Linked DNA regions of Ovis aries. The protein of the gene in region 3 interacts with the protein of the main gene of each other region in a pairwise test. Links are inferred from orthologs where the notes say so. Each region holds a gene or a part of one and is shown on either strand. Other genes may lie near its edges. The genes, in order: ZNF366, NKAPD1, CEP70, DDX6, BRMS1, CWF19L2 and TTLL10.

Evidence for each region.
Region 1: the proteins of CEP70 (region 3) and ZNF366 interact in binary tests that used the Homo sapiens proteins (3 or more experiments, as listed by UniProt). The link is inferred for Ovis aries from reciprocal best matches to the Homo sapiens genes CEP70 and ZNF366.
Region 2: the proteins of CEP70 (region 3) and NKAPD1 interact in binary tests that used the Homo sapiens proteins (3 or more experiments, as listed by UniProt). The two-hybrid records come from large-scale screens. The link is inferred for Ovis aries from reciprocal best matches to the Homo sapiens genes CEP70 and NKAPD1.
Region 4: the proteins of CEP70 (region 3) and DDX6 interact in a two-hybrid assay, tested with the Homo sapiens proteins (2 studies listed by BioGRID and IntAct). The two-hybrid records come from large-scale screens. The link is inferred for Ovis aries from reciprocal best matches to the Homo sapiens genes CEP70 and DDX6.
Region 5: the proteins of CEP70 (region 3) and BRMS1 interact in binary tests that used the Homo sapiens proteins (3 or more experiments, as listed by UniProt). The two-hybrid records come from large-scale screens. The link is inferred for Ovis aries from reciprocal best matches to the Homo sapiens genes CEP70 and BRMS1.
Region 6: the proteins of CEP70 (region 3) and CWF19L2 interact in binary tests that used the Homo sapiens proteins (3 or more experiments, as listed by UniProt). The link is inferred for Ovis aries from reciprocal best matches to the Homo sapiens genes CEP70 and CWF19L2.
Region 7: the proteins of CEP70 (region 3) and TTLL10 interact in binary tests that used the Homo sapiens proteins (3 or more experiments, as listed by UniProt). The two-hybrid records come from large-scale screens. The link is inferred for Ovis aries from reciprocal best matches to the Homo sapiens genes CEP70 and TTLL10.

The regions. Positions count from the first base shown.
Region 1 is NC_056069.1:9,288,153-9,291,116, forward strand, and holds part of ZNF366 (zinc finger protein 366), read left to right. Parts: intron 1-1,360; coding exon 1,361-1,884; 3' UTR 1,885-2,964. UniProt on the Homo sapiens protein: Has transcriptional repression activity. Acts as a corepressor of ESR1; the function seems to involve CTBP1 and histone deacetylases.
Region 2 is NC_056068.1:22,066,709-22,070,966, forward strand, and holds the start of NKAPD1 (uncharacterized protein NKAPD1), read left to right. Parts: upstream 1-1,458; 5' UTR 1,459-1,522; exon of another isoform or gene 1,523-2,091; intron 2,092-2,904; 5' UTR 2,905-2,912; coding exon 2,913-2,981; intron 2,982-4,258. Other genes in the region: PIH1D2 (PIH1 domain-containing protein 2), read right to left, coding at 1-89.
Region 3 is NC_056054.1:251,250,955-251,254,454, forward strand, and holds part of CEP70 (centrosomal protein of 70 kDa), read left to right. Parts: intron 1-206; coding exon 207-353; intron 354-514; coding exon 515-683; intron 684-1,059; coding exon 1,060-1,174; intron 1,175-1,637; coding exon of another isoform or gene 1,638-1,656; exon of another isoform or gene 1,657-2,155; coding exon 2,156-2,235; exon of another isoform or gene 2,236-3,500.
Region 4 is NC_056068.1:29,112,375-29,115,874, reverse strand, and holds part of DDX6 (probable ATP-dependent RNA helicase DDX6), read left to right. Parts: intron 1-2,429; coding exon 2,430-2,559; intron 2,560-3,434; coding exon 3,435-3,500.
Region 5 is NC_056074.1:40,819,862-40,824,053, forward strand, and holds the start of BRMS1 (breast cancer metastasis-suppressor 1), read right to left. Parts: upstream 2,801-4,192; coding exon 2,662-2,800; intron 2,593-2,661; coding exon 2,502-2,592; intron 2,346-2,501; coding exon 2,218-2,345; intron 2,071-2,217; coding exon 1,991-2,070; intron 1,906-1,990; coding exon 1,809-1,905; intron 1,288-1,808; coding exon 1,195-1,287; intron 37-1,194; coding exon 1-36. UniProt on the Homo sapiens protein: Transcriptional repressor. Down-regulates transcription activation by NF-kappa-B by promoting the deacetylation of RELA at 'Lys-310'. Promotes HDAC1 binding to promoter regions.
Region 6 is NC_056068.1:15,697,041-15,701,180, forward strand, and holds the start of CWF19L2 (CWF19-like protein 2), read left to right. Parts: upstream 1-1,340; 5' UTR 1,341-1,358; coding exon 1,359-1,451; intron 1,452-3,776; coding exon 3,777-3,887; intron 3,888-4,140.
Region 7 is NC_056065.1:50,636,746-50,640,848, reverse strand, and holds the start of TTLL10 (inactive polyglycylase TTLL10), read left to right. Parts: upstream 1-1,303; 5' UTR 1,304-4,103. UniProt on the Homo sapiens protein: Inactive polyglycylase.

The DNA.
Region 1 (2,964 bases), on a different chromosome or scaffold from region 3:
CAGTGCTCCATCTGACAATCTAACTCGGTCACCAGAACTTACCCCACGTGGATGCTCATATCCTAACAGGCACCTAAAGACTGTCATTCTTCTGGAAAAATCAAGAGCATCACTATATTATCAGAGAGTTGCTTTGAAAGTTTGTAACAGACTTCCGACAGTGTTAATGCTTTCATCTACAAAAGGTTTTGGCATTTCTTCACTCTAGTTTTTGAAATAGCTCAAGAATCATGACCCAGATTAAAAAGATCCTCCCTCTGTCCCTGACAAGATTAAAGCTACCGATAGCTTCATCGCCTGACAACACGGTAAGGTAGGCAGCACTGGAGATCGGCCTCCTTGGTGTGTCCCCACCTCAGCAGCCTGCTTCTCCCTGGGCACCAGGGTCTGGCCACCCCCAGGCCCTCCCTGCTGTCCTCCTCCTCAGTCATCCCCACCTGTCCCTCCAGGCCTGGCCGCTGGCCCACCACGGACGGGTCGCGCCTCCCAAGTGTCTGCTGGCTGCTGAAAGCCCATCCCTGAAAGTGAGGCCCGCCCACCTCCCCGTGTCCAGTAGCAGGGACACTTGTGGTTGGGCAGGGGGCTTCGAACACCGCGGTGCACCTTCCTCTGCCCTTCCAGCTCTGTCTGTGCTTGGGGAGCCCTGGACCCAAATGCAATATCTGTTGGTTTTTTTTTCCACAATGAAAATATCTTTGTTATTTTTTCCTTATGGTAAAATATGTGTTCACTGTTAAAAGTAAAAAGAAATATATTCGAAGTGAAAAGAAAAATGTAAAAATCACCTCATAGTTACCCATTTTTGAGATTTTGACATATATCCTTCCAGACATTTTTCGATAGATAAAATAGAGTCTATACAATAAATATATATATTTTTTACTTAAAGTATATAGAGAATACCTTTTATGAGCACTAAGAGGTATCGACATATTATACACATAGAAATACCTTCTAACACATAATACCTTGACTGTTCTTTATGGTCTGAGACACCAGGGAAGCCCCATGGAGATACTACTATTTATGTAAACACACCTCTGTCCTTAAATGGATACGTTGTTTTCACCCATCCTTATACAGTTTTTGCATCTGCCAGACTATTTTCATAGTTTAAGTTTTCAGTCCTGTGATTGGCTAAGTTAAAGGTGTGCTTATTTTTAAAGTTTTTCGTGCACGTTGCCACAGTCCCCTGAAAGGAGTCACACGGATATAGATTCCAGCTGTGACAAGGCCCGTCTCTCTACAGCCTTCTGGGGATTTATCTAGTTTTAAAATGCAAAATCAAGTTATGCTAACTAGCCCTGGGTTCCACCCAACGACCCCTTCGGCGGCCTGAACGTGCCTTTGCTCCTGGCAGGTTTTGGAAGGGGGAGAATTGCGCTGGTGCCGACCGCGGGGGCCCTGCGGAGCCTGGAGCAGGAGGAGCCCTTCGATCTGTCCCAGAAGCGCCAGGCCAAGGGGCCAGCCTTCCAGTCGGACGGCGAGAGCGCCCGGGGCAGCTCCTGCCACGAGGAGGAGGACGAAGACAACTGCTACGAGGTGGAGCCAGACAGCCCGGGCCCCGGGCCCCGCGGCCCGCCGCTCTGCGCGCCGCAGGACCTGTCTGCCAAGCCGGAGCCGGGCCCTGGGGAGGAGGCGCCCGCCGAGGAGGCCTCGCCTCCAGGGGTCCGCCCGCTGAAGAGCCGCGACAGCCTGGGGCCCGAGGGCGGCCCCGAGCGAGAGTTCGCCCGCAGAGACGAGCGGCCTGGCCTCCGGGTCCTGCCGAGCACCCGGAGGGGCCCAGCCTTTTCTGATTACTTGTACTTCAAGCACAGAGATGAGCGTTTAAAAGAATTACTGGAGAGGAAAATGGAAAAACAAGCAGTGCTTTTGGGGATCTAAGTGGACGGTTTAAGAATTACACTTGGAAAATGAGAGCTAGGCAGTGCAGATACAGCTTTCCGCATGAGCTCTCATTTGCTGGAGACGAGAAGGGCATGAATCTTGACAAAGGGCGCAGACTTAGATGAGCAGAGAAGCAAATGCTTCTCAGATCTTGCATTTGGGCCCTTGATTTTTAACACACATGGAGGGCCTTCTTCAATGTTGTTTCATGGATCTCCAGTACAATTAACTGTACATACTGTTCTAGACATCTAATTGTAAGCTGATGCTGAGGTGCTTTTAGAAATTCTATTTTTCATTGACTAACATGGTAAATTTCTTTCTAGTTGCAAAAATATGGTGCTTGACATGTTACTTTATTAATAACTCTTTAGTTGAATTTGTGAAAGTTATATTTTTCCAGATAGATGAAAATAGTAGTAGTGGTATATATTTTTAAAATCATTTTATTAAATAATAAAAAAAAATATCAGAAATGACAGGAGGGTGAGTTTTTAAAGAGGATGTTCTGGAGTAGTTGCTGCAGATATAAGATAAAATTTCAAGAGAATGTGATTAATTTTCATTAAGGGAAAACCAGCAGTGCTTAGATTCCTGCCTGGGTCTGCCTTGTTCAGCTCCCGCTGCCTTCATCAGATGTGGCATAGGAGCGTATTTTCTGATGGCCCAGCAGTGCTCAGCGTCTGCAGGCTAACCCTGAGTCCTGAGCAGGGCTCCCTCCTGGAGACCTTGCTCCAAGGCCTCACGCCTTGTAAAGCAGCTGCAGGAAGAGCTGGCACCCTGTGAGCAGTGGATTTCTCATCAGTGCTGGAGCTACAGGGTTGGGGGAAGAATTCTCCCTGACATTTCAGCTGTAACTTATTTAGAGTATTGGAATAACCATTGCTAGGAAAGCAGTTGCGGGGCTGTGTTCTCAGTGCTGCCTGCACATTAGAATCATCTCAGGAGTAGTAGTGTTACCTGCTCAGTCGTGTCCAGCTCTTTGCAACCCCACGGACTGTAGCCAGCCAAGCTCCTCTGTCCCTGGGATTCCCCAGGCAAGAATACTGGAGTGGGTTGCCATTTTCTTCTCCAGAG
Region 2 (4,258 bases), on a different chromosome or scaffold from region 3:
TAGCTCTCAGGGTTACTTTCAGCCAGATCATCTAAGAGGTTCCAGAACTGAGTAACCTGGGTAAGCAGACCCTTTGAGGATGACTCCATGATATAGATGAATAGGCCTCTTAAGCCTGTAGAAAGACATGACTTAAGGAAGAAAAAAATTTCACCTCAAATCTATTCTTCGCGGGGAGGAGGAACAGTTCAGGGGCTGTTTTGTTGAAGTTGACAGCTATTCTTAACACCAGTGCCTAAAAGATTATGGATCAGCACTGTTTTATCTTTTCCTTATATTCTATTTAGTACCCTTTCTTACATTCTCAAGATGCTCTCTCAGATGGTAAGTCCTTACCTCTGCATAGACCCTCACAAGCCTTGCTGCTGCTGCTAAGTCGCTTCAGTCGTGTCCGACTCTGTGCGACCCCATAGACGGCAGCCCACCAGGCTCCCCCATCCCTGGGATTCTCCAGGCAAGAACACTGGAGTGGGTTGCCATTTCCTTCTCCAATCCATGCAACTGAAAAGTGAAAGTGAAGTCGCTCAGTCGTGTCCGACTCTTGGCGACCCCATGGACTGCAGCCCACCAGGCTCCTCCATCCATGGGATTTGCAGGCAAGAGTACTGGAGTGGGTCGCCAGTGCCTTCTCCGCTTGAGAGGTCATTTAAAGTTTGGATTTCTCGGAATTTTCTTGTCTCAACACCCGGGTATATGCTAACTGGGGCCTGAATTTGCTAGAAGTGTGCTGTGGGTTGACGGCCACATGAGACTTCCTCAATCAGCATAGTTCAGGAGTTAAAAGCATGGACTCTGCAGCCAGAATGCCGAGATTCCACTCTTAGCTCTATCATTTACTAGCTGTGTGATCTTGGGAAATTAATTTACACATGTGCCTCAGTTTATTCTCCTCGAAATGGAGGCGATAATACGTATCTCATAGGGTTATCGTGAGAATTAAGTAAGCTAATACGGAGAGGCTGGAACACCTGCCAAGAATAATAATATTCTCTCTACCACTTGAGATAACCTCCCTCTAAGCCCCCTCCGTCAATGGAGACGTATCTCACAGCATCCACAGAATGAGGAGGATTCTCCAAATACTACATTAAGATTAGACTAAATGGGAAATTTAATTTTTCCAGAGGTCGGCGAACCTACCTCTTCCTTTGGTTACTTGACAAAACGCGACGCCTGTTACCAGGGTAACCACACTGGGACAACATCTAATTGAGTCCGGAAAGCTCCAGACAAAAAGGTCTTATCTTTCTACATCCAGTTCCCGAGTCTTCTCCTTCTGGTGCTGGGCTTGCTTTTCGGCTGAGCCTGACCCACTTCTTTTCCAGGACGGACCTTGCTTCCCGTTCTACTTCCGAAGACTTCTAGAGTGTCCTGGAAACCCTTCTGTGGGAATCCTTGGGACTTCTGTTGGTGGGAAGAATTTCCCATGAGCACCACTTCCGGCCTGGAAGGGAAGTCAGATCTCTCTTCTCCCAGAGAGCTTCCTCCCCCCCAACCCCGCTACGCGAGGCTGCGGCGCACGGTATGGGTGTGTTTGTGTGTGTTTGTGTGGGGAGGGTGTTTGGAAGGAAAGTTACCAGGAGTCCCGTGGCCGCTGGGGAGCAAGGGTCCCGGTGACGAAGATAGGGGTAGTTTCTCTGTTTTCCACTTGGAAGCCTCCCCCCGCCCCACCCCCTCTTCAGCCACTCTAGATACATCTTGGGGCCCAGTCAAGAGTCGTACCGGTCCAAAGCGTCCTTATCCCTTTTTGGGGAGTGAAACCCAACCCCTGGGATCGTCCCAGAGGAACGTGAGCGGGGAATGCCCCAGCCAACCCGGCCGCCCGAATTCCGCGCCGGAGCAGCCCCCGGCCTCAGTCCGGAGAGAAATCTGCCTGTCGGCCTGGGCTGAGGGGACGGCGGCCGTGACCTGGGCCACGGGTGAGGGCGGAATAACTGGTGGGAAGGCTGCGTTTTCACGAAGGACTCGGGTGAAGCTGCAGAGCTGCCTTTGAGCCCTGACTCCTTGGCTTCCTGGGTCGGAGGAGATCTTGTAATGGAATGGTTCTTCGTCTCACACTAACAAGATGCCTGATTTCCTCAGGATCGAGGGGTGAGTGAGCGGTGGGGTGGTTGCCCAAAGCCCCTGATAGCTACACATGTGAATATGTCTGTCATTTATTTTTTGGAGGCTTCTGGACAAAATAGAACATAAAATTCCCTTGAATGAAATAGTGTAGGGCATCTTTGCAGTTGATGTTTTTAGGCATCAGTTTTTGTTACTGTTGACATTTGTGTCCCTGAAGCTCTTAAATCTAGGTGTTTAACTGTAAACTAATTTGGAGATTTGGGAATTGATTTCGAATCTGAACTTTGTTTGCCCTGGACTGTGTGCCCTGGAGCAAGGTATGGCTTTAAGGGAATGTCATCTACAGAAAAGGAATGAAGGTGAAGTGAAGTGACTCAGTCATGTCCGACTCTTTGCGATCCCATGGACTGTAGCCTACGAGGCTCCTCTGTCCATGGAATTTTCCAGGCAAGAGTACTGGAGTGGGTTGCCATTGCCTTCTCCAGGGGATCTTCCTGAGCCAGGGATAGAACCCGGGTCTCCCTCATTGCAGGCAGACGCTTTACTGTCTGAGCCACCAGGGAACATAAAACAGTTATTTTAAGGATTAAATAAAATGGTGCTCTTGAAAGCACTTAATTTGGTGCAGTTTCAAAGAACTCTAATGTACATTATTTCCTTTCATCCTCACATTAGTGTGGACAGGTGTTTTCCCCTTTTAATGGTGAAGGAAAAACTATTCCTCAGGACCACTGACTTCTAGTTCGGAAATCTTCTCTTTAGCTCATGTTTCATTATAGCATAGTGATAAAAGATAACATATTAAATTATTAAATGTTACTTATTGATTCATTTCAGGTTGAAGAATGTCGCGAGTTCCTTTGGGGAAAGTCCTCCTGAGAAATGTCATCCGGCACACAGATGCTCACAATAAGGTCAGAGATACACCTTAGTTATTCCTCATGGTTAAGGAGGGTTAACAGTGTGCTTGGAGTGATTTTGGTACAGTTCGAAGAGACAAAGATACAATACATAGTTAGAATATAATTTGGTAAGTATTATAATGTAGACATACACAGAGTGCTTTCATCCACTGAGGAAGGAATAATGAACTCTGCCTTGGGAAATAGGGAAAGGCTTCACAGAATGGGTGGTATTTGAACTGCTGATATTTGAACTAGTTCTTAATGAACAGGTTCAAGTTTATCAGATGTCAGAGATCATTCAGCACAGAGGGAATATCATGTAGTAGCATATGGTAAGGAGCATGAAGCACTTAAGGGAAGAAATTGTATGCATCCATAAAGTGGAGAATTTGGGAGGTAATGGCAGAAGATGAGGCTTGAGTGGTCAATTAGAGTTGGATTGTGATGCTTGGAGATCAGACTTTTGCCTGTAGGCAATAAAGAAACCATTAATTATTTTTAAGCAAGGTTAGAGATGTTCAGTTAGTTCAGTTCAGTTGCTCAGTCGTGTCTGACTCTTTGCGACCCCATGAACCGCAGCACGCCAGGCCTCCCTGTCCATCACCAACTCCCGGAGTCCACCCAAACCCATGTCCATTGAGTCAGTGATGCCATCCAACCATCTCATCCTCTTCTGTCCCTTTCTCCTCCTGCCCTTAATCTTTCCCAGCATCAGGGTCTTTGCCAATGAGTCAGCTCTTTGCATCAGGTGGCCAAAATATTGGAGTTTCAGCTTCAGCATCAGTCCCTTCCAATGAACATCCAGGACTGATCTCCTTTAGGATGGACTGGTTGGATCTCCTTGCAGTCCAAGGGACTCTCCAAGAGTCTTCTCCAACACCACAGTTCAAAAGCATCAATTCTTTGGCACTCAGCTTTCTTTATAGTTCAACTCTCACATCCATACATGATCACTGGAAAAACCATAGCCTTGACTAGATGGACCTTTGTTGGCAAAGTAATGTCTCTGCTTCTTAATATGCTATTTAAGTTGGTCATAACTTTCCTTCCAAGGAGTAAGCATCTTTTAATTTCATGACTGCATTCACCATCTGCAGTGATTTTAGAGCCCAGAAAAATAAAGTCAGCCACTGTTTTCACTATTTCACTGTATTAATATTTTAGAAAGATGATTTGTTAGCTGGGGAGGGGATAGATCAGATGGGTTGAAATAGTAGAGAGGCCGGTTAGGAGACAGTTGTAGTATTTCAGGTGAGAGATAATGAGGGATTCACATGAAAACAGTG
Region 3 (3,500 bases):
GATAATCAGTATATGTATAATGTTTTTTGTAAGGCCTGAAGAAAATGAATTTAAAAGACTCTTTCTAAACAGGTAACGGTATTTTTTAAAAAATACTGATGATGGTTAATATATGTATTACATCTGCTTGGATAGTTATATTTTATTAACATGATTATGAAAACTTTAAAAATGCATAATAGCATATTATTTCTTTTGTTATGAAGGATTTATATAAGTCCTTGAAAATACTGTCTACAGAACTGGTGCCTTGGCATAATTTAAAGAAGCAGGATGAAAATGAAAGTGTCAGAGTTGAAGATCTATTGTTCATAGTAGATACCATATTAGAAGAAGTTGAAAATAAGGCAAAGGTAATACTACCCAGTACTTATATAGACATTCACATTTTAATGTGAAATTAATGATATGGATACAGATATTCTACTATAACTCTTTCTCTTGTTAAAGTTTTTATAAGATTTGGAATAATTTTAAGATGTGAACTTTCTTTTACTTCCTCTCTTTTGGGCAGGACAGCAATATGCCAGACTTCCACATTTTGCGAGCTATTGTTTCTCACTTCCAAAAATTATTTGATGTTCCTTCTTTAACTGGCGTCTATCCTCGAATGAATGAAATTTATACTAGGCTTGGAGAATTGAACAATGCTGTGAGAAACCTCCAAGAACTCTTAGAACTAGGTAATGACTCATTTTCATTTTGGCCCCCCACTTAATAATGATTTTTAATAAGTCTGACTCTTTGCAATCCCATGGACTGTAACCCACCAGGCTCCTCTGTCCATGGACTCCTCCAGGCAAGAATACTGGAGTGGGTAGCCATTCCCTTCTCCAGGGGATCTTCCTGACTCAGGGATTGAACCTGGGTCTCCTGCATTGCAGGCCGATTCTTTACTGTCTGAGCCACCAGGGAGGCCCCATTAATAAATCAGCAAAAAGTAGGTAAAAAATTGAGGGTAACAGAAACATAACGTTTGATTTAATTAATTTAATTGATTTGATTTTTAATTTTGAAAATTCCCTTAAAATATTCTTTCCTTTTATTTCTCTTTTGCAGATAGTTCATCCTCATTGTGTGTGCTGGTGAGCACAGTTGGAAAATTGTGTAGGCTGATTAATGAAGATGTGAATGAAAAGATTATGCAGGTATTAGGACCAGAAGACCTTCAAAGGTATTTATTTTAAAAAGGTTGCAAAGTATTGTCCAGAATGTTTGGAGTAAAATTAAAGATTTTCAAAACTTCATAAGTTATTTACCTTTCCTGTTTGGAATAGCATTTGTAAAAATAATTTCACACCTTAGGGATGGAGAGAATATCAAATATTTTCAAGATAAAAGTAGATTCTGGGGGTCTGAGTCAGGACTCTAGCATTTTTGATATAAGCTTATTCCCAAGGGAAATTATAATTGGAGAAAGTCAAACTTTGTCAGCAACTTCATGTTAATTCAGAATATATAAGTAAGTCTAGTTTCTAGTAGATTACCATATATCACTGATTAATCACTAAGAGTATGTGCATTGTTTGATAAAATATTAAGGACTTCTTTTTTAAAGCTAGGCATCTCCAACATAAAACCTAATTTTTTTTAATGTCAAAATGTTATAGCTGTACTCTTCCTCCCTCCTCCCTCAGATTTTATACTGCAGCATAAGGGAAGTATATGTTCCATACGTTCTGCAAGTTTTCCAAGAGGAACCCTAACCTAATCTGACACTTGAGGTTTCTGACACTTGATGATTTTAAAAGGAACGTATGTCTCACTATTGGTATTTTTCTCCCTCCCAGTTTTACAGATTACTGATACTTATTCTTAATGTTTAATAGAATACAGGATATGAAAATCAATTATTTTTAGAAAACATTGGTCTCTTAAGACTCCTCAAGCTAAATGGAAAATTCCCATATTAGAAATGTTAGATTTAACCTTAGAACAGATGATTATACCGCTAGTAGATTTTTTTTTGTTGTTTTAGAAGACTATTACTAGATGAACAAAGAGCTCAGAAGGAAAGATTGCAGTAAATAATCATTAAATTTGTATTTAAATTACCAGGACAGTTTCTTTCTGTTTTGAAATGTTCTATGTCCAATCAAATGTAAGAATCGTAAGTCAGAAATTCAGTATAAATTGTGCTTTTTTTTGTTTAAAGCATTATCCACAAATTGGAAGAACATGAGGAATTTTTCCCAGCATTTCAGGCATTTACTAATGATCTACTCAAAATCTTAGGTAAGATTTTTGTCGGAGGTGGTTAAATATTGAGTCTCAGGATGGCATTGGGTTTGAGGAAAGAGTGTTCCTTAGTCACTGTATTAGTGTTTTTACCTAGAGTGGTAGAAAGTGGAAACCACTAATAGTAGTGAAAACAAACTTCCAACTTTTGCAGTTAAAGTTGGTTGGGGTTAATCTACAGAACACAGAAGCACATATTCTTTAAGGAGCTGAGCCTTTTGTTTTAGGACCTTAAAATGAGAAATGACATTATTCTGGCTAGGCCCACTCTAACCCTGACTGTCACTGGATAATGAGAAATGTCTGTAGAATTTATGATCTTGATAGGTGTGTTTTTAATTTTTCTTCCCCCTCTTCCTCCTTTTTTTTTTTTTAAAAAAGATAGCTCCTACCTACTCTCTTTTTTTAAATTTAATTTCCTCAGATGATGAGAAATAATATAACGTAAACATCTGTAGAAAGATAAATTTATAAGTTTGTGGAAGGGAAGAGATACATTTACACTCTTGGTCAGATTGAAGGCTTTAAGGGGAAAAAAATATAATTAGAAATCATAGGCAAAATAAAAACCCACATCTCTTACTTTAAGTGTGATTTATTATGGCTATAAAAATAATTAATCTTACCATTAAGAACACTTTTTAGGGAATTCCTGGTGGTCCACTGGCTAGGACTCTGTATGTTCACTGTTGAGAGTGTAGGTTCATCCTCGGTAGGGGAACTAAGATTCCCTAATCCCAACAAAACAAAATTACTTTTTAAAAAGGTTACAGTGATTTATTTACTTCATTAATTCATTATGATTAATATTTTTTCTGTGTAGCTCATTTGAAGTAGAAAGGTTTTTTTTGTTTTTTAAAGGATAACTCTTTGACATAGGAAATTAAATTAGAAGAGGAGATAAGGTTTGGTAGAAGATAAAGGAACGAGTAAGTTAAAATTTGGTAAGAAGATGAGTAAATGAAAGGCATATCTGATTAGAGTGTATAGCCTAGTTGAACATAATTTTTTGTGGCCAATTTTATGTAGACTGGAAGCAACGGAGACAGTGAGTGTACTTTATTCATGCTCATACGTTTGAAACGATCATGGCAAGGGAAGACATAATTTGAAAGTTTAACTTGAGATGTGAAAATGTAGAAATGTATTTATTGCCTTGTGTCTCAAAGAGTTTGTTTCCTGCAATATGATTTTACTTGCTTTGAGGTAGCGATTAACAGTGAGTTTGTCATTAACAAACATTTTACTAGGTGTGCTATTAA
Region 4 (3,500 bases), on a different chromosome or scaffold from region 3:
GCTTTTTGACTTAGCATATTTTAGGATTCATCCATATTGTAGCATGTGTCAGTACTTTATTCCTTTCTATTGCTGAATAATATTCCACTGTATGGCTATACCACGTTTGGTTTATCCATTCTTCAGTTGGTAGAGTTGTTTCCACTGTTAGCTATTATGAATAATGCCTTTTTGAACACTGATGTATGTAGAATTTTTTGTGGAGGTATTTTCATTTCTCTTGGGCATATACCTAGGAGTAGAATTGCTGGTTCATGTGGTAATTTTTTATCTTTTTGAGGAACTGCCAGACTATTTCCCAAAATGGCTATATATTCTACTTAGTAGTGTATGAGGTTCCAGTTTCTCTTATTTGCAGACCTAAGTTCAAATCCTGATTCTAGCATTTCTTGCTTAATCACCTTGTGCAAAACAATATTGAGGATCCATTTTGCCATTTGTAAGACAAAAAGTAACCTAACTTGAAAGGATATAATTAACATTAAGTATCTAAGTGTAGTACCCATCACAGTAAGTTTTTAAAATTTTTAGCTTCCTTCCTCCTTCTCCCTGGCAGTTCCCCATGACTTCTCTTGAGTTTCAAAGCTGTCTGAATCTGGCTTGAATTTCCTCACTTCGGATTGTTTAATCTTCCTAGCAAACAGTGATAAGAGACAGTGAATATACTGAATTCTCTGACTGCTAATCATAATAGCCACCATATGAGACAAAGTACAGTGCATCTTACCTTACAGGCTAGCTAGCTTACTTTGTTGTAGCCCTATCCTTAAACAGTTTCTGTTTCTGTGGAACATAAGTCCTGTCAAAGAGCAGAGAAACAGAAGTCAGTGGCCTTTAAGCCATAATGTAAACCCCAAAAAGGAATTAGGATACCCCCAATCTAATTCTGTCCTGTCTGACTTCACTGAGGTATCTTATCCTTTTAAAGGACCTGACTCAGGAAGTCACTGAGAGACTAAAGTCTTTTTCTGCTGTCAAACTGAGTTGTATACTGGTAACCTGTTCAAAAACCATAATAGAGATTGAACCCATGTGATAATTGGCCTTCGGGACAACTGAAGATTAATAGAGTTGACTCAGAGTTGTGGCTCAAGGGATAAAGAATCTCCCTGCAAAGCAGGAGCTGTAGGAGACATGGATCCCTGGAGGAGGAAATGGCACCCTACTCCAGTGTTCGCGCCTGAAAAATCCTGTGGACAGAGGAGCCTGGCGGGCTACAGTCCACAGTGTCACAGAGAGTCAGACACGGCTGAGTAACACATGTGGTCAAGCAAGGAAGGATTTAAGACCAGAGGGTCAAACCAAGGCTTTCTTTGACCTGCTTCACCCTACATAATAAGCAGACTGTTCAATGCTGGCTGTCGGAGTAAATTAACAGAGTATTGTCACTGAACTATTTTCACAGTTGTTCTGGCAACAGTGTTAGTTATTCTGATTATATGGAACCCATCTGACCCCTATGATTGGGGTTCTAAAATAAGTGTCATGGTAGGAAATGAAAGTCATGATGCTTATGACTTGGGTATTTCTCCAGTAACAGTTTTAAATTGCTAGAGATATTTGTTTTGGTCATTAGCTCAAGCATAGAAAGAGCTAATTACAGTGATTGTGAATATTTTTCCTAATTTATTTTTCTAATTTTATAGTTGTAGAAATTAAAATTTTTTAGTTTTAGAAATAGAAGTGTTCTGCTTCCTCTGTTCATACCTGTTTTACCTTTTTTAATTTCTCTCTGTGTATGTATATTTAATATTTAGTAATTGTTGAGAATCCTTTGGTATTGTCTAGGAAATTTGCCCTAATAAGAAATATTATCTTCTGCAAAACACTCATGTCTGCAAAACACACGAGTAAGCCAGATTTGAAAACGAGAAGTCAGGGCACATCTCAGGACAGAAGTTGGCTGCGAGACAGACATTGGTCATTATGTAATACAATTTTAAAAAAAGATAGGACCCAAGACTAAACTTTTCCATCTGAGTCCTGTTTATGTAGAAATAAAATTGTCCAACCTACAATTTTTCACTGTGGTCAAGTTGGTTTACTAGTCTCAGAATATCATATAGTCCTTCTTTTGAATATTGTTTGTGCTGTTTTTTCTTTGTTTTTAATTGCAAAATGTCCTTCGCTTATTTTCCCCTGTGTGTTTATTGTGTCAGCCCAAGTTCCTCCTCTTTTTCTGTTGTTGATGCTCACACATACAAACTCAAAGGTTTTTATTACTAAATTTAGTGTGTATTTTATGAGTAGTTCTGATAAATGTAAGTTGATACTAATGGTGATGTTGACTGGTACTGCTAATTTATTTGGTCTTTTGTAAAATACTTCAATACCAAGGAACTTTGTATACTTTCAGTGTGTTTTAGAGAAGAACTCGCCTATGTACTGATTTTATTCACAAGTAATATGCATTGTTCCATCTCTTCTAGGAGGAGAGCATTCCCATTGCTTTATCTGGTAGGGATATTTTAGCTAGAGCAAAAAACGGAACAGGCAAGAGCGGTGCCTACCTCATTCCCTTACTTGAACGGCTAGACCTGAAGAAGGACAATATACAAGGTTGGTTTAAACTATAAATGCTGATTTAAATCTTGGAGCTGTATAGAAGATATTACCATCTTTTCTCAGTTGGAACTTAAATCATATGAAATTAGTATTTACCCTTTTCACAGCTTATGGCCTAGTTGTCTTGTAAAAATGATTCCTAACTTTTAAAAAGAGATTTCTAGTTTTTAAGGTTATTTTGCATATTTTACAGTTACTACAACATTCCAGTGAGATAGGCAAAATAAGAATTATTGTCCTGTAGATAGGGAAAATTAAATTGTCTGAAATAGATACTTAAAACTATGGAACTGGAACTAGAATGTTTCTTGTGACAGCTGTGTCTGCAGAGTTCCTTGTAAAAGCAGGAACTTTTTCTCTCTGAAGCCTTGTGGCTTGGGGATTTTAAAATCTTAAGTAGTATGGAAGAGACACATTTCCGTAACTGTACCCAGTAGATCTATGTTTTCACCTCTAAAGCTTTTTGTAAAGTTTTCAGTTTTTTTCTCCCCATGGTTTCTTGATCTATAATTATTTCTGCCATCTTCCTATTATGTTCATATGATATAAGTAGAACTGGGCAGCAGGAGTTTCCTATTTGGGCATTTTGACTAGTGATCTCTTACTAAAATACTAACAAATTTTGAGTTAATAATTGCCAACTCAAAGAACCCTTTAAGGCTTTGTAACCAGGAAGAGTAGAAGAATTGTATAGCATTGTTACTGAGGAGAAGTCTAAATCTGGTACACTATAATAGTTTCTTTTTTTGAAATTTATTCATTTGAGTGTCTTGATTACAAGGGGCAATATTTCTATAGCTTCTTAAACTCTTAAAATATGGCTTTTCCCCCCTCCTCTCTCCTTTTTTCTGTTTGTTGATATTTTCCAGCAATGGTGATTGTTCCCACTAGAGAACTTGCTCTACAGGTCAGTCAAATTTGCATCCAGGTCAGCA
Region 5 (4,192 bases), on a different chromosome or scaffold from region 3:
TGTCGATCTCCTGCAGCATGTACACGATGTAAGGGCCTGAGATGGGGGTCAAGGAAACAGGAGACGTGGGGAGGGGGCAGGGGATGGGACCGGGCCCCCAGCCCAGGGGGTGGGAGGTGCCAGCACTCAGAGGCGGCGGTGCCGTGGATGGCGGGTTGGGGAGCCGAGCACCTGGGGCAGCACTCAGGCTCCACCTCCGACCTCGTGGCTCCTGGGTTCTTAGCAGGGTGGAGTGCGTGGCTGCGGCCTATTTCAGTTTCACCCAGTCCACAGAGGGCGTTCAGCCCCTTGGCTCCCTCCTCACCTCCTCTCAGGCCTCAAGGTCAGAAGGCCCAGGCCCAGGCCACCCACTCAGGGATCTCGCCCCCTGTTCCCTCAACTGGCCCCACCTACACGCAGACTGTCATCTATCTCTTCTGTCCTGAAAACCACCCTCCATCGGTCTCACCCGCCCGTCTGGGGACTGGCCACTCTGCCCGCTGACGTCTCCACACCCTCACCTCCCACCCCCGCTCAAGCCTCTGCAGTCCAGATCCTTCCCTCCCTGCTTGAACATGATCCCCATCACCAGGAGGTCAACTTCCTGATAATCTGACTGCGGCAGAAATATGGAGGGGTGTGTATACCTGAGAATTCAATTCAACTCCGTGCTGGGCTATGCGAGGGGGGGAGGCCGGCACAGCAGGCCCTGAACAAGAGGGGCTCACACCTGGGGGGCGGCAGAGGTGACTATGTCCAGAAGGGAGGCAGGTGCCCCCGTTCAGGTAAAGGGGTGCAGAGGAGAGGGAAGCCACAGCCATTGTCGGGGAAACCAGGAGAGGCTTCACAGAGGAGGTGACAATTGATGGGCACCGAGCAGGCAGACAGGTAAAGGCATCCAAGAGGGGAGTGTAAAGTCAGCAAAGGCATGGGGGTGGGAGAGCCTGGGACATGCCCAAGACACTGTGAGAAAGCCAGAAGGGCCTCAGAGGAGACCTCACTCAGAAAACTATGGGGAAATCTCTGGATGAATGCTTCTATTTTTCCATGGTCCACACAGGCCAGGAGGACCCTGCAGAAAATTCAACAGCTGATCTGCCTGGACACGGCCACAGGAGGCCAGATGACCTTAAGTGAGTCTGGTCTGCCTCTGTCCCCCATGTGCCTCCACCCTGACCTCCTGCCCAGTTCAGGCCACTGTATGGGGAAGGATACCGGAAACGAGAGGCGCCTTCTTCCTCTTGTTGGGTGGCAGGGAGTCCCATGTCTTCGAGCTGCCTCTGGCATGCAGTTTGTCATCCCACCACTCTGCGCCCCAGACCAGAGTCAGCATCAGGGTGCCGTCCTCCCAGGACGCCCCACCCCTGAAGCCTGTGTCCCTCACGTGGGCCAGGCCAGCCCATCCCCATCAACCTCCCCAGGGCAGTGCAGAGAAGCCTGGGCTTGGAAGCTGAGTTCAATCCTGGGAAAGAGGTCACTGTGCTTCTGCTAACCTCAGTCTCCTCATCTGTTTCATGGATGGGGGTGTGAGATCATTAGTCCCTCCCTCCCCAGTGCCCTGTGTGAATGGGCACACTGTGGCCATGGCAGGGGCACGTGTGTCAGAATGATGCCTCCATTCTGGGACCAGCACGGAGGGAGGGCACCCCCAAGCTGCCACTGTGCACCAGGCACCGGGCTGGGCCCTTCCCCGCCTGCTTTCCGTCAGTCCCCACGGTGAGCACGGAGCAGGCCCTCCTACACCCACCCCCATGCAAGCGGGGAAGGCAAGGCCCAGACAGGGAACGGGCGCTGGAAGCACAGGGGTGCCGGCTGGCCGCTGGCCTCACCAGAGTTGATGTCCAGGCTCTGGCGGTCCTCCTCCAGCCTCTGGATCCGCTCCTGCAGCTCGCCCTGCAGCGTGTCGTACAGCAGCAGCTTCTCACTCTGCAAGAGGCGCAGCGGCTCAGCTGGGCGGGGCGGGGTGGGGCGGGGCGGCCACCTCCTCCCCACCCGGCGCACCCACATTCACCTCCAGGTGCTGCTTGGCTCCCTGCAGCTCACACTCATACTTGTTCCTGATCACGTCCAGACAGAAGCCCTTGTAAATCCCTGCGGAGGGAGGGCGATGGGCGGCCGGGCCTGGCCAGGGCCCTGGCTGCCCACAAAGGCGGGTGAGGCAGGGCACGGGTGAGAGGGGAAGGGGACAGAGAGCCGTGGGTTCTCATAAGGGGACGGGGCACAGGACGGGCCACAGACCTGCCACCTGAATGCGAATCTTGAGGCTCCGCTGCAGCCCCCCCAGGGGCTCCGTGTATTCGGGTGCCCTTTCAGCTCCCACTTCCTCCAGCCGCACCCGCAGCTGACTCAGTCGTTCCCTGAACAACCTGGGAGGCGAAAGGCAGCCGTGCGCCCGTGTGCCCATCTGCTAAACACGTGCCCAGCGCCCCGGGTCAGGCCCTTGCTCACACCGGCCCTGGCTGGCGCCAGGCCCTCCGCTGCCTCCTGGAAGCCGGGCCCCGAGCCCCGGGCCCCTCGCTCACTTCTCCTTCAGCTCCGAGAACTGCTTCTCCAGGTCCATCATCTCACTGACGCACTCGCTGCGGCGCCGCTCGTAGTCCTCCTCGTCCATCTCTGGGACAAGAGGCCAGTCAGGGCCGGCTGCGGGGGCAGGCAGGGCGCTCGAGGGCGTGTGGGGCTCACCTGAGCTCTCCTCCTCGGACTCGGTCTGGCTGCCGCTCCGTTCCTCCTCGCTCTCCTCCTCCTCCCCATTCATCTCGGCAGCTGAGTCGCCCTCTGCTTCCATCTCCTCTGTGTCCTTGCTTGGAGGCTGGACGGGCATCTGGGCGCTGGGAGGAGCAGTGGAGCCATCACTCGCCCCTGTCCCCAGCTCCGAGTGGCAAAGTGGTCACTTGGGGAGTCAAATCAAGCCTCGCTGTGGATGGGGACAAGCAGGGGAGGGAATGGACTGGACTCGCTGGGCCCTAGGGACATGCAGGGTGGGGCAGGTACAAATGGAACCATCTACACATCTCCCAGAAATCTAGGAGCCACAGAAATGCCCATCCCCTTGGACATTGTTGGTGATCACAATCCCCGTAATATTGGCCAAGGTGATGATCTGTAAGATGGGAAAGGCCAAGATGGGCTCTCCACTGCCTACGGGACTGGGCCAAAATTCTGACCCAGGCTTTCGAGGCCCTGCACACTGGACTTGAACCGCTGTCCAGCTCCTTCACCCCACATCTAATGGCCAGTTCTCAAATACACCACGCACTTCCTCCCCAGCCCCTGCTGCCCACTGTGCTGTTCTTCTGCCTATAAAGCCCTCCACTTCTCTTCCCACCCTACAATGCTCGGGTCCTCTCGCTATGCTCAAATCCTACCTCCTTCTGCCTCCTCTAAGACCCCAAGTCATCAGTACTCCACTCTCTCTTCTGCATGCTCAATTTTCCCTCTTGGCAGCTCTTAGGAAACTTTAGACATGTTTAGGTATTTCCCAACATGCAGAAAAAGCAGAAACACAAAACTTCATCCCACTCCACTCAATCACGGCCCCCATTTCCCATCTTTGCAAGGTCTTGTAAACACATGCTCTTCCTACTCTTTCACCTTCCACTTGTTCCAATCTGTTTCCATATCATTGCTCTCAGCTGAAACTGATCCTGTAGAGTTAATAGATGACCTCCTTGTACCCGATGCCAATATTTTTTGGTCTCTATCTTGACTTCTCAGCAACAAAGAACAGTGTTAAACATCTTTTTACTCACTGATTTAATCTTTATTGAAAAATCTAACATATGCTAGGTACCATCAGACACTATGGTAGGAGCTTGGCTCAAGTGCGGCAGACAGTTTTCTGATCTCAAGGAGTTGACAAGTTCCTGGGAGAGAGAGGCCAGGAAGCAGAAGAGTTAAGACCAAGAGCATATGGGAGAGGCAGCTAAATGAAACCTGGAGCTTGCTGCAGCAGTGAGGGCTTGCAGAGGATGAAGGGCCAAACCCATGAGCTGAGCTGGCTGAGGAAGAGAAAGCATTCTAAGGAGAGTGAGTGGCATGAAAAAGACCCTGAAAGGAGAGAAGGGGCAGGGGTGGGGACACATGGGTCTAAGCCTCAGAGAGAAATCTGGGCTGCAGAGATCTGGTCATCACATTGAGTGAGTTCTTCAGACCTTGGGAGAGTGTGCCACCAGCAAGGCAGAATGTGTGGAGTGAGAAGGGGCTCATGATGGAA
Region 6 (4,140 bases), on a different chromosome or scaffold from region 3:
TCTGAGTGAACTCCGGGAGATGGTGATGGGCAGGGAGGCCTGGCATGCTGCGATTCATGGGGTCGCAAAGAGTTGGGCACGACTGAGCAACTGAACTGAACTGAACTGAAACACCAGATGTTGCTGTTCAATCACCCAGTCACGTTCTATTCTCTTAGACCCCATGGATTGCAGCATGCCAGGCCTCCCTATCCCTCACCATCTCCCATGCCCAAGTTCTTGTCTATTGCATTGGTGATGCCATCCAGCCTTCTTATCCTTTGATGCCCCCTTCTCCTTCACACCAGATAGTAGATGTATTTAACACAGTCAAAGGAAAATAGGTGTGAAGTGTAGCTCCTGTACAGTTAAGGGGCAGAAGAGCAAATTTAGTTACGTTCAAAGTTAGGAGTTTTTAAAGTAAACAAAAACAAAAAAAGAACAACTAGAAATATTCAGGCCTGCTCGCTGTTCTCTTTTATCTTCTTTATTCTCTGGAAAGGGAAGAAAAATACCCATTCCTCTTTTTTTTTCACTTGTTACTGAGACAGTATGAACAAACAGTATGAGGTCAGAAAAAATGTTACACTTTAAACAAGTATAAATTATGAAGTGCAATGCGAAATTCACATGACTTTTTCATATACTGTGCTTAAAAAAAAAAAAAAAATCCACCAAAGCAAACTGCTCACTCTTCAAAGCAAGTCTTCTCTCCTGCTAGCTTGCACTGTCTTTCTGGCCAGCCTTCCTTTAGTCCATTCCTCCAGCACAGGGAAACCTCTTTGGCGATAAGGGCACTTTGGTAGAAATCTTTACAACATGTACCTTTAATCTAAGGAAATGGCAACCCACTCCAGTGTTCTTGCCTGGAGAATCCCAGGGAAGGCGGAACATGGTGGGCTGCCATCTATGGGGTCGCATAGCGTCAATGCGGGAGACCCGGATTCGATCCCTGGGTCGGGAAAATCCCCTGGAAAAGGAAATGGCAACCCACTCCAGTACTCTTGCCTGGAAAATCCCACGAGTGTGGTAGGCTACAGTCCATGGGGTCGCTGAGTCGGACACGACTGAGCGACTCCACTTCAGCTGTGACATGCCGTCAGTCCCGTGCAAACTGCGTAATACATGTACGCTGACACAAGTCTTGTTCAGGGCAACCCCAATACACGAAGGAGTGTAACCCCTTGACTTAACCTTCGGTTTCTTCCAAACCTAAGGGGTAGACAATTTACCGAAATAATAAGCAACGGTTTGCGCATGCTCTTTTGGTGGCGCAGATTCCCTCCTCCCCCTAGTCGGAAGTCCCGGTTTGTTTACTAAATTACGACAGTCGTAAACCGAGATTTTTGTGCCGGCTTCCTAGCTTTACGACAACAACTATGGCGGCTGCCGGGGGTAGATTTGAAAGTGCGAGTAGCATCGAAGAGCGTAAAGAACAGATTCGAAGTGCCAGGACCGAGGTGTTGCGCCAGGTACCTCAGTTTTGAGGCTTTGGGAGTCATTTAGATTTGAGAGTGGAGGCTTTCTGGGAGTCAGGCGTCTAGCTCTCCTGCCTCCCTGCACCTTTTCCTGTTTCAGTTCCTCAGTATCTTACCGTATCTAGTTGTGTGGGGATAGATGTTTTCCTTTGGGATGCTCGCACACTGTTGGTATCTTCTGCCTCTTAGATGGTCTGGAAGGCTCCAGTTGCTCATATTCTTTTCCAGAAAACTTGTTCCTTTCCTCTGACGTTCCTTATCTTTTAAAGCATCCGTGCTTGACATTTCTAGCACCTGATCACCTGTGCTGCGCACTTTCGAGGGACCCCACTACTTTCCCTGCATATCTTACAGCCTAGGTCCTCCGTCTTGTTATATCTGAAATGAAATTTTCCGTTTTCAGAAACTCGTGTAAGGCACGTTAGAGTAGATCGTTTCATTCTCCTTTTAAGTTATTTGTGTCAGTTATCCGGCTTATTGCAAACCCGTACTGAACCAAACAGCGACTGAGACAGAGATCTAAAAAATTTAGCTCCTCGAAAAAAGTTGAGAAACGTGTTTTTCATTAAGATTGAAATGAGTAGAAGTAAAATAAGGAAGGGAGGAAGTAAACTGTACTATTGACTTAGCTCAGAAGATGTGAGAAGTGTGGCAGGGGAAAAGAAGTGTGAAGGGGAAAAGTTGTAGTTAGAGAACAGTGTAAGGTGAAACAAGTGATGATCATTATTTTATCTGTTTTAAGCTATAACCGTTTAAAACACATTTAAATGCTGCTGCTGCTGTTAAGTCGCTTCAGTCGTGTCCGACTCTGTGCGACCCCACAGACGGCAGCCCACCAGGCTGCCCTGTCCCTGGGATTCTCCAGGCAAGAACACTGGAGTGGATTGCCATTTCCTTCTCCAGTGCATGAAAGTGAAAAGTGAAAGTGAAGTCGCTCAGTCGTGTCCGACTCTTCGCTACCCCATGGACGGCAGCCTACCAGGCTCCTCCGTTCATGGGATATTCCAGGCAAGAGTACTGGAGTGGGTTGCCATTTCCTTCTCCATTAAATGCAAATAAGGAACCGGTGTAGGAGATAGGAAGGAGAAGTTATAATGACTGCAGTCAGATTTTACAGGGGAAGAAAAGGGCAATAAGTCTTACAGAGGTGAAAGATTGGTGGTCCCTGATTTCAACATATGTAATATATGTGTATAATAAATATCCTTCATCCTTGTCTCTGATATTTCAGAGGGAGTTTTTGGAGGGAGTGGATTTGTAAACTATGATAAATTTTATAGTATATCTATGTACAGAATTTTGAGAAGGACCAATCCTAGCTTTGAAATTTGGGGAGAGAATGAAAAGGCAGGAACAACTTCTTAGGAAGCTGTTACTTAGTTTGACTGTTTTTGAATGATAAAAACTTATCAATATGATCATTTGTTTTTAGAAAGGTGATTCTTTCTGAAGCATTTTGAGGGTGTGGGTAGAGGGTTATGGACATTGCAGATTGAGGGTATGGAGGTCAGTCTCCTAACAGTTACAGAAGTATCAGGCGCTGTCAGTGGAATAGCGAAGGGAAAAGAAATTCAAGTCATTTTTAAAGTAGGGAGCTTAGGGGACAGGAAGAGGTCTGCAGTAGGTCCCAAGATTCTGTCCTTGATTGGTGGCTCATTTCACTGTACTGTGCTGTGCTTCCTCATGCAGTCCTGTCTGACTGTTTGTGACCCTGTGGTCTGTAGTCCACCCGGCTCCTCTGTCCATGAGGTTCTCCAGGCAGGAATACTGGAGTGGATTGCCACACCCTCCTTCAGGGGATCTTCCAAACTGAGGGATTGAATCCAGGTCTTCCCCATTGCAGGCGGATTCTTTACTACCTGAGCTACTAGGGAAGTCCGGTTCCTTTCACTAGTGATTGCTAATTGGTAATGCAATTGGTAATGTGGAAGGAGAATTTGTTGTTTTTAATCTTTCTTACACTTTGGTAGGGGCTTCCCAGGTGGTGTTAGTGGTAAAGAACCCACCTGCCAGTGCAGGAGACGTAAGAGACGCGGATTCAGTCCCGAGGTTTGGGGAGATGCTCTGGAGGAGGGCATGACAGTCCGCTCCAGTATTCTTGAGAGGAGAATCCCATGGACAGAGGAGCCTGACAGGCTACAGTCCATGGGGTTGCAAAGAGTCTGTCACAACTGAAGTGTCTTAGTATGCATGCACACACACTTTGATAGAAGCAAATTTGTGGTGAGCCTTGCACGAAAGTGGGGGAGGTTTCTGTTTTGCTTTTTTGGTGAGAAGTAGGTGGGTCAGTTGTTAATTTTTCTTTTTTCACGGTTTTAGGCTAAAGCCAATTTTGAAAAGGAAGAAAGGCGTAAAGAACTGAAACGACTTCGGGGTGAGGAAACATGGATGCTACCTGATGTGATTAAGAGAGTTGAACAAATCTCACAGGTAAATACTATTAGGCTTACTTGGTGTAAGCTTTTTTTTTTTGCACTTATTCAAGTTAATACTGGAGGAGCAAGTTTATAAACTCTTTTTCACAAGTTAAAGAATGAATATCACATAGTTGACAGTACTGAATATTTGTCTTTCTGGCTAGAGTAGTATATATTGATATTTTGGACATGATATTGGAAAGATTGTATTAGTTGAGTTGGCTGGTAGAAAGCTTAGATCCAAGTTTCCAGTCCACTTGTGGTAA
Region 7 (4,103 bases), on a different chromosome or scaffold from region 3:
CCATGGGTCCCAGCAGTGCTACACTTCCGCCCAGGCCCAGGCCACACCTGACGCCCCAGCCCTGGGACCCCCAGAGGGCTTTCTGTCACAGACACAATGGACTGTTGGTGTAATAAAGCATGGGGGCTCCTGTTCAGCTCAGGTGCACTGGCGATAGGCTCATACTGCTGGCGCTGCCACTGGGCCATGAGAGCCCTGGGCTGCAGCAGCCACATCCCTGGAGCCCCCCAGGAGCCTCTCCAGGGAGGCACCCTAATCGCTATGCCAGGCAGTGGTGGGGGATGAGGAGTACAGGATAGAAGCAACTCCAACTCCCTGTGCCCCTAGAGACACCCCAGGCTGCCCTCCCCAACCCCAGGTGGCACCAGGATCCTGAGGGTGCTGGCCTTCCTCCCCTGGGTCCCCATAGGCCTGACTTGGCTCTTGGGTGGTCGAAGGCCTCTCCAGGTACCAGGCCATCACACCCCATACCCAGGTACCGCTGGAAGGCCTGGTGGTCCTGCCCCCTCCCCTCTGCTCCACATCCAGACATCATCTGTCTACAGTGTTTGCCAGTCCCACTCGCAGCCTCATGGCTGTGCCCCCAGAGCCTCTTCCTTCCCTGAGAATTCTAAGCAGGCCCTAGGGTCCCAGTCCATGGCTGATGCCTCTGACCCAGGCTCTGCGGCCAGAGTCAGGGTAGAAGGGCCCTTCTCTCTGTCCCTCCCTCCCTCCTCAGTGACCACTCTTTCCTGAGTGCCCTCGGAAAGCCAGTGCAGCTCCAGACACACTGGGGATAGGGGAGGAGTGTCCCTGAGAAGGAGCCACAGACAGCGAGAAGGCTCTGGGCAGGGCATGTGGTCTGCAGGGCTGCTGGTGCTGCAGCAGCCGGAGAAGTAGAGGGGCTGCAGGGGTGGGGTGGGGGAGGCGGAAGTGGGGGTACAGCAGGGGCGGGGGGCAGGGTGGAGGGGCTGCAGGGGTGGGGTGGGGGAGGCGGAAGTGGGGGTACAGCAGGGGCGGGGGGGCAGGGTGGAGGGGCTGCAGGGGTTGAGGTTGGGGAGGCGGAAGTGGGGGTACAGCAGGGGCGGGAGGGCAGGGTGGAGGGGCTGCAGGGGTTGGGGTGGGGGAGGCGGAAGTGGGGGTACAGCAGGGGCGGGGGGCAGGGTGGAGGGGCTGCAGGGGTTGGGGTGGGGGAGGCGGAAGTGGGGGTACAGCAGGGGCAGGGGGGCAGGGTGGAGGGGCTGCAGGGGTTGGGGTGGGGGGCGGAAGTGGGGGTACAGCAGGGGCGGGGGGGCAGGGTGGAGGGGCTGCAGGGGTGGGGTGGGGGGTAAGGGGTGGGGGTGCTCAGGAAGGCCTCTCTGAGCAGAGGGACCCAGAGGCCAGAGGCTGCATGGGGGCCACTAAGGAGGCTTTCCAGCCCCAGCAAAGGTGCCAGTTCCCTGTAGGAGGCCGGGAAGACCCTCAACTACCACAGCAGGAGGGGCACTGGGCCTTTTCCCAGAGAGGGGCTGACTATCCCCTACTGTCCTCAGGGTACTCAGCCCTTAGGGTACTCAGCCCAAGCACAGCCAGGCCTGAGGAGAGGGGAGAGGTATCTGCCCTGCAAGGCTAGCCAGTTCATGCTGGGCTGCCTTGCTCCAGGTTGTAGATGTGACCAATGGCCCAGCCCTGGGCTGTTGTGGGAAAGGCTGCCGCCAGGCTGGCTCCCTCACCAGCTTCAAGTTACAAGGCAGTTTTTGAGTCTGAGCTCTTGGTGTCACCACATGGGCAGGGGGCTGCCTCCTGAGAACCCATGAGGAGCCACCAGAGGAGCAGGGAGGTGGGCTGGCCCAGCCCCTAGAGTCTGGGTCTCTAGAAATGAAGGGATGGAGGCATGGGCTCCTGGGGAGGACAGACTTCCAAAAGTCTTTGCTCGGGCCAGTGGGAAGACTGAGCGGACTGCAGGTGACCAGGGGCCCCCCTGCACACCCAAGGGTACTTGTCCCCTGCAGGCCCAGGCAAGGGCCCACCACCCTGAGGTCAGGATGCCCCTCAGACAATAGCTCAGCTAGGGGAGCTCTCCCCGCTCCCACAGACTAACTCTCGGGCAAAGGGATTTCAGACCACAGTCCAGCAGAACTGAGCCCTGAGGCCACCAGTGCCTGGCACAGGCAGCACACAGCTGAGGGCGCATCAGTCTCTGAGAGGAGTCAGGAGGAGGGACTTGGGCACATTAATTTCCTGGGGTGGCCACAGCAAACTACACAAACTTGGTAGCTTAAAACAATGAAAGTGACTTCTCTCATGGTCCCAGAGGCCGGAAGTCAGAAGTCCAGGTATGAGCAGGGTCCCTCTTGCTTCTTCTGGCCTCTGGGGCTCCAGGTGTCCCCAGGCTTGTGGCCACAGGGCTTGTGGCCCTCTGGCCACTGCCCACCTTCCACTGGCTTCTCCCCTCTGTGTCTCCTGCTCCCTGCCTCCCTCTCACGAGGACACTGGTTGCTGGATTTAGGGCCCATCAGATAATTACATCTGCCAAGACCATTTCTCCAAGTGAGGTCACATCCCTAGGTTCTGGGCCTTAGGACGTGGACACACACTGCAGGGGGCTGCCGTCCACCCTACAGGAAGCAAGTGAAGGCACTCTAAGGGGAGACGCCCTGGTGACCCATGCAAAGCATGGTGCAGGGTGGAGGAAGAGGCCGTGCAGGGCAGCCAGAGGCCCTCCCACCGCCCCTGGACTCCCAGACCTGGCTGTCAGCCCCATCTCCCCATGCCTTGCGGAGGCATGGGTCTGCAAAGCCCCACTTTTCATTTTGTTAAGTGAGGGCTCCACGTGCTGAGGCTGTGGTGAGCGGAAGTGAAGGGTAGCAGCTGAAGCACAGTGGGTCAGGCCTGCGGTCTGGGCATAGACTTGGGGATCTTGAGAAGGCTCAGGAATGACCCTGGAGGATGGAGGACCCGGATGGAGGACCCGGATGGCGGCTGTGCATGTAACGCCCCTCTTCCAACCTCAGTCATTCCCTGCCCCCACCCCCGGGCCAGCCTCCAGCCCCTCCCCATCCACCTGCTCACCTCTGGGCCACTGGGTTGTGGTTGCTGGGAGACAGTTGCCTGGTCACCACTGTTGTTTTCCGGGCAGAGGGCTCACACCACCTTATGGGGCAGGTAAGAGGGACAGGCAGGCCACAGTGGGGTCCTGGCTGGGCATGAAGGCTGGAGCCAGCTGTGCTGTGGCCCCTACCTGGCCCCGCAGCCCCCAGGAGCCCTATGGGTCCTCTAAGACTCTGTCCAGGAGTATAAGGGAGGGGAGGGAGAAGAGGGGAGGAGGGGCCTGGCTGGGCAGAGCCCCCTCTGAAGAGGGCCCAAGCACCCAGGGCCATAGGATGAGGAACAGAGACACCCAGGCCAGGCTGAGCAGGGCAGGCCTCCCGGGGGTGGCAGCTCCTTAGGACCAGCTGCTTTGCTCAAGACCAGGTCTGTCTCTCTGGACCAAACCCCAAAAGGATGGCCTCCTAAAATCCACAGGGACCCACATCCCCCAAACAGCTTAGCCCTGGCCAGAAAGCACCAGCCGGATGAGCAAAGTCAGCACTCCCAAGCGCCCGTGTGGCCAAGCGTATATCTGGGGATGGGCCCAGTAGGGCATGGTGGCATCTCATTTCTTGGACGTTTCCTTCAGCTTCATTCACCAAGGTCTTCCACTCATCACACCAGGGTGCCGTTTCCTGCTGGTCTTTTTACCTGACCAGGTAAATGGCTTCTTTAAAAGTTCATTATAAAGTTGGGTTTCCACTGACGGTCCCTGCTCTGCTGCAGCCGTCTTGGGAGCCCTGGTGCCATCCTGCCCGTGGGGCCGCGGCTGCCCAAGCTGCATCGCCAGTGATAACATTCCCTGAACATCTTCCAGCAAAAGCTTTCTATTTAGAATGAGTCTGTTAGAGAGATTCTGAGAAAGGTGATTGTGGGGACATCCCCCAGTGGTCCAGTGGTTAAGGTTTCCCCTACCAACCCAAGAGTTGTGGGTTTGATTCCTGGTCCAGGAACTAAGATCTCGCATGCTGTGCAGTAAGGCAAAAAAAAAAAAAAAAGGGTAATTGCTCAACAAAGGCTCTGGGAGCTGGAGCTGTGATCCCCCTGACCCCTCC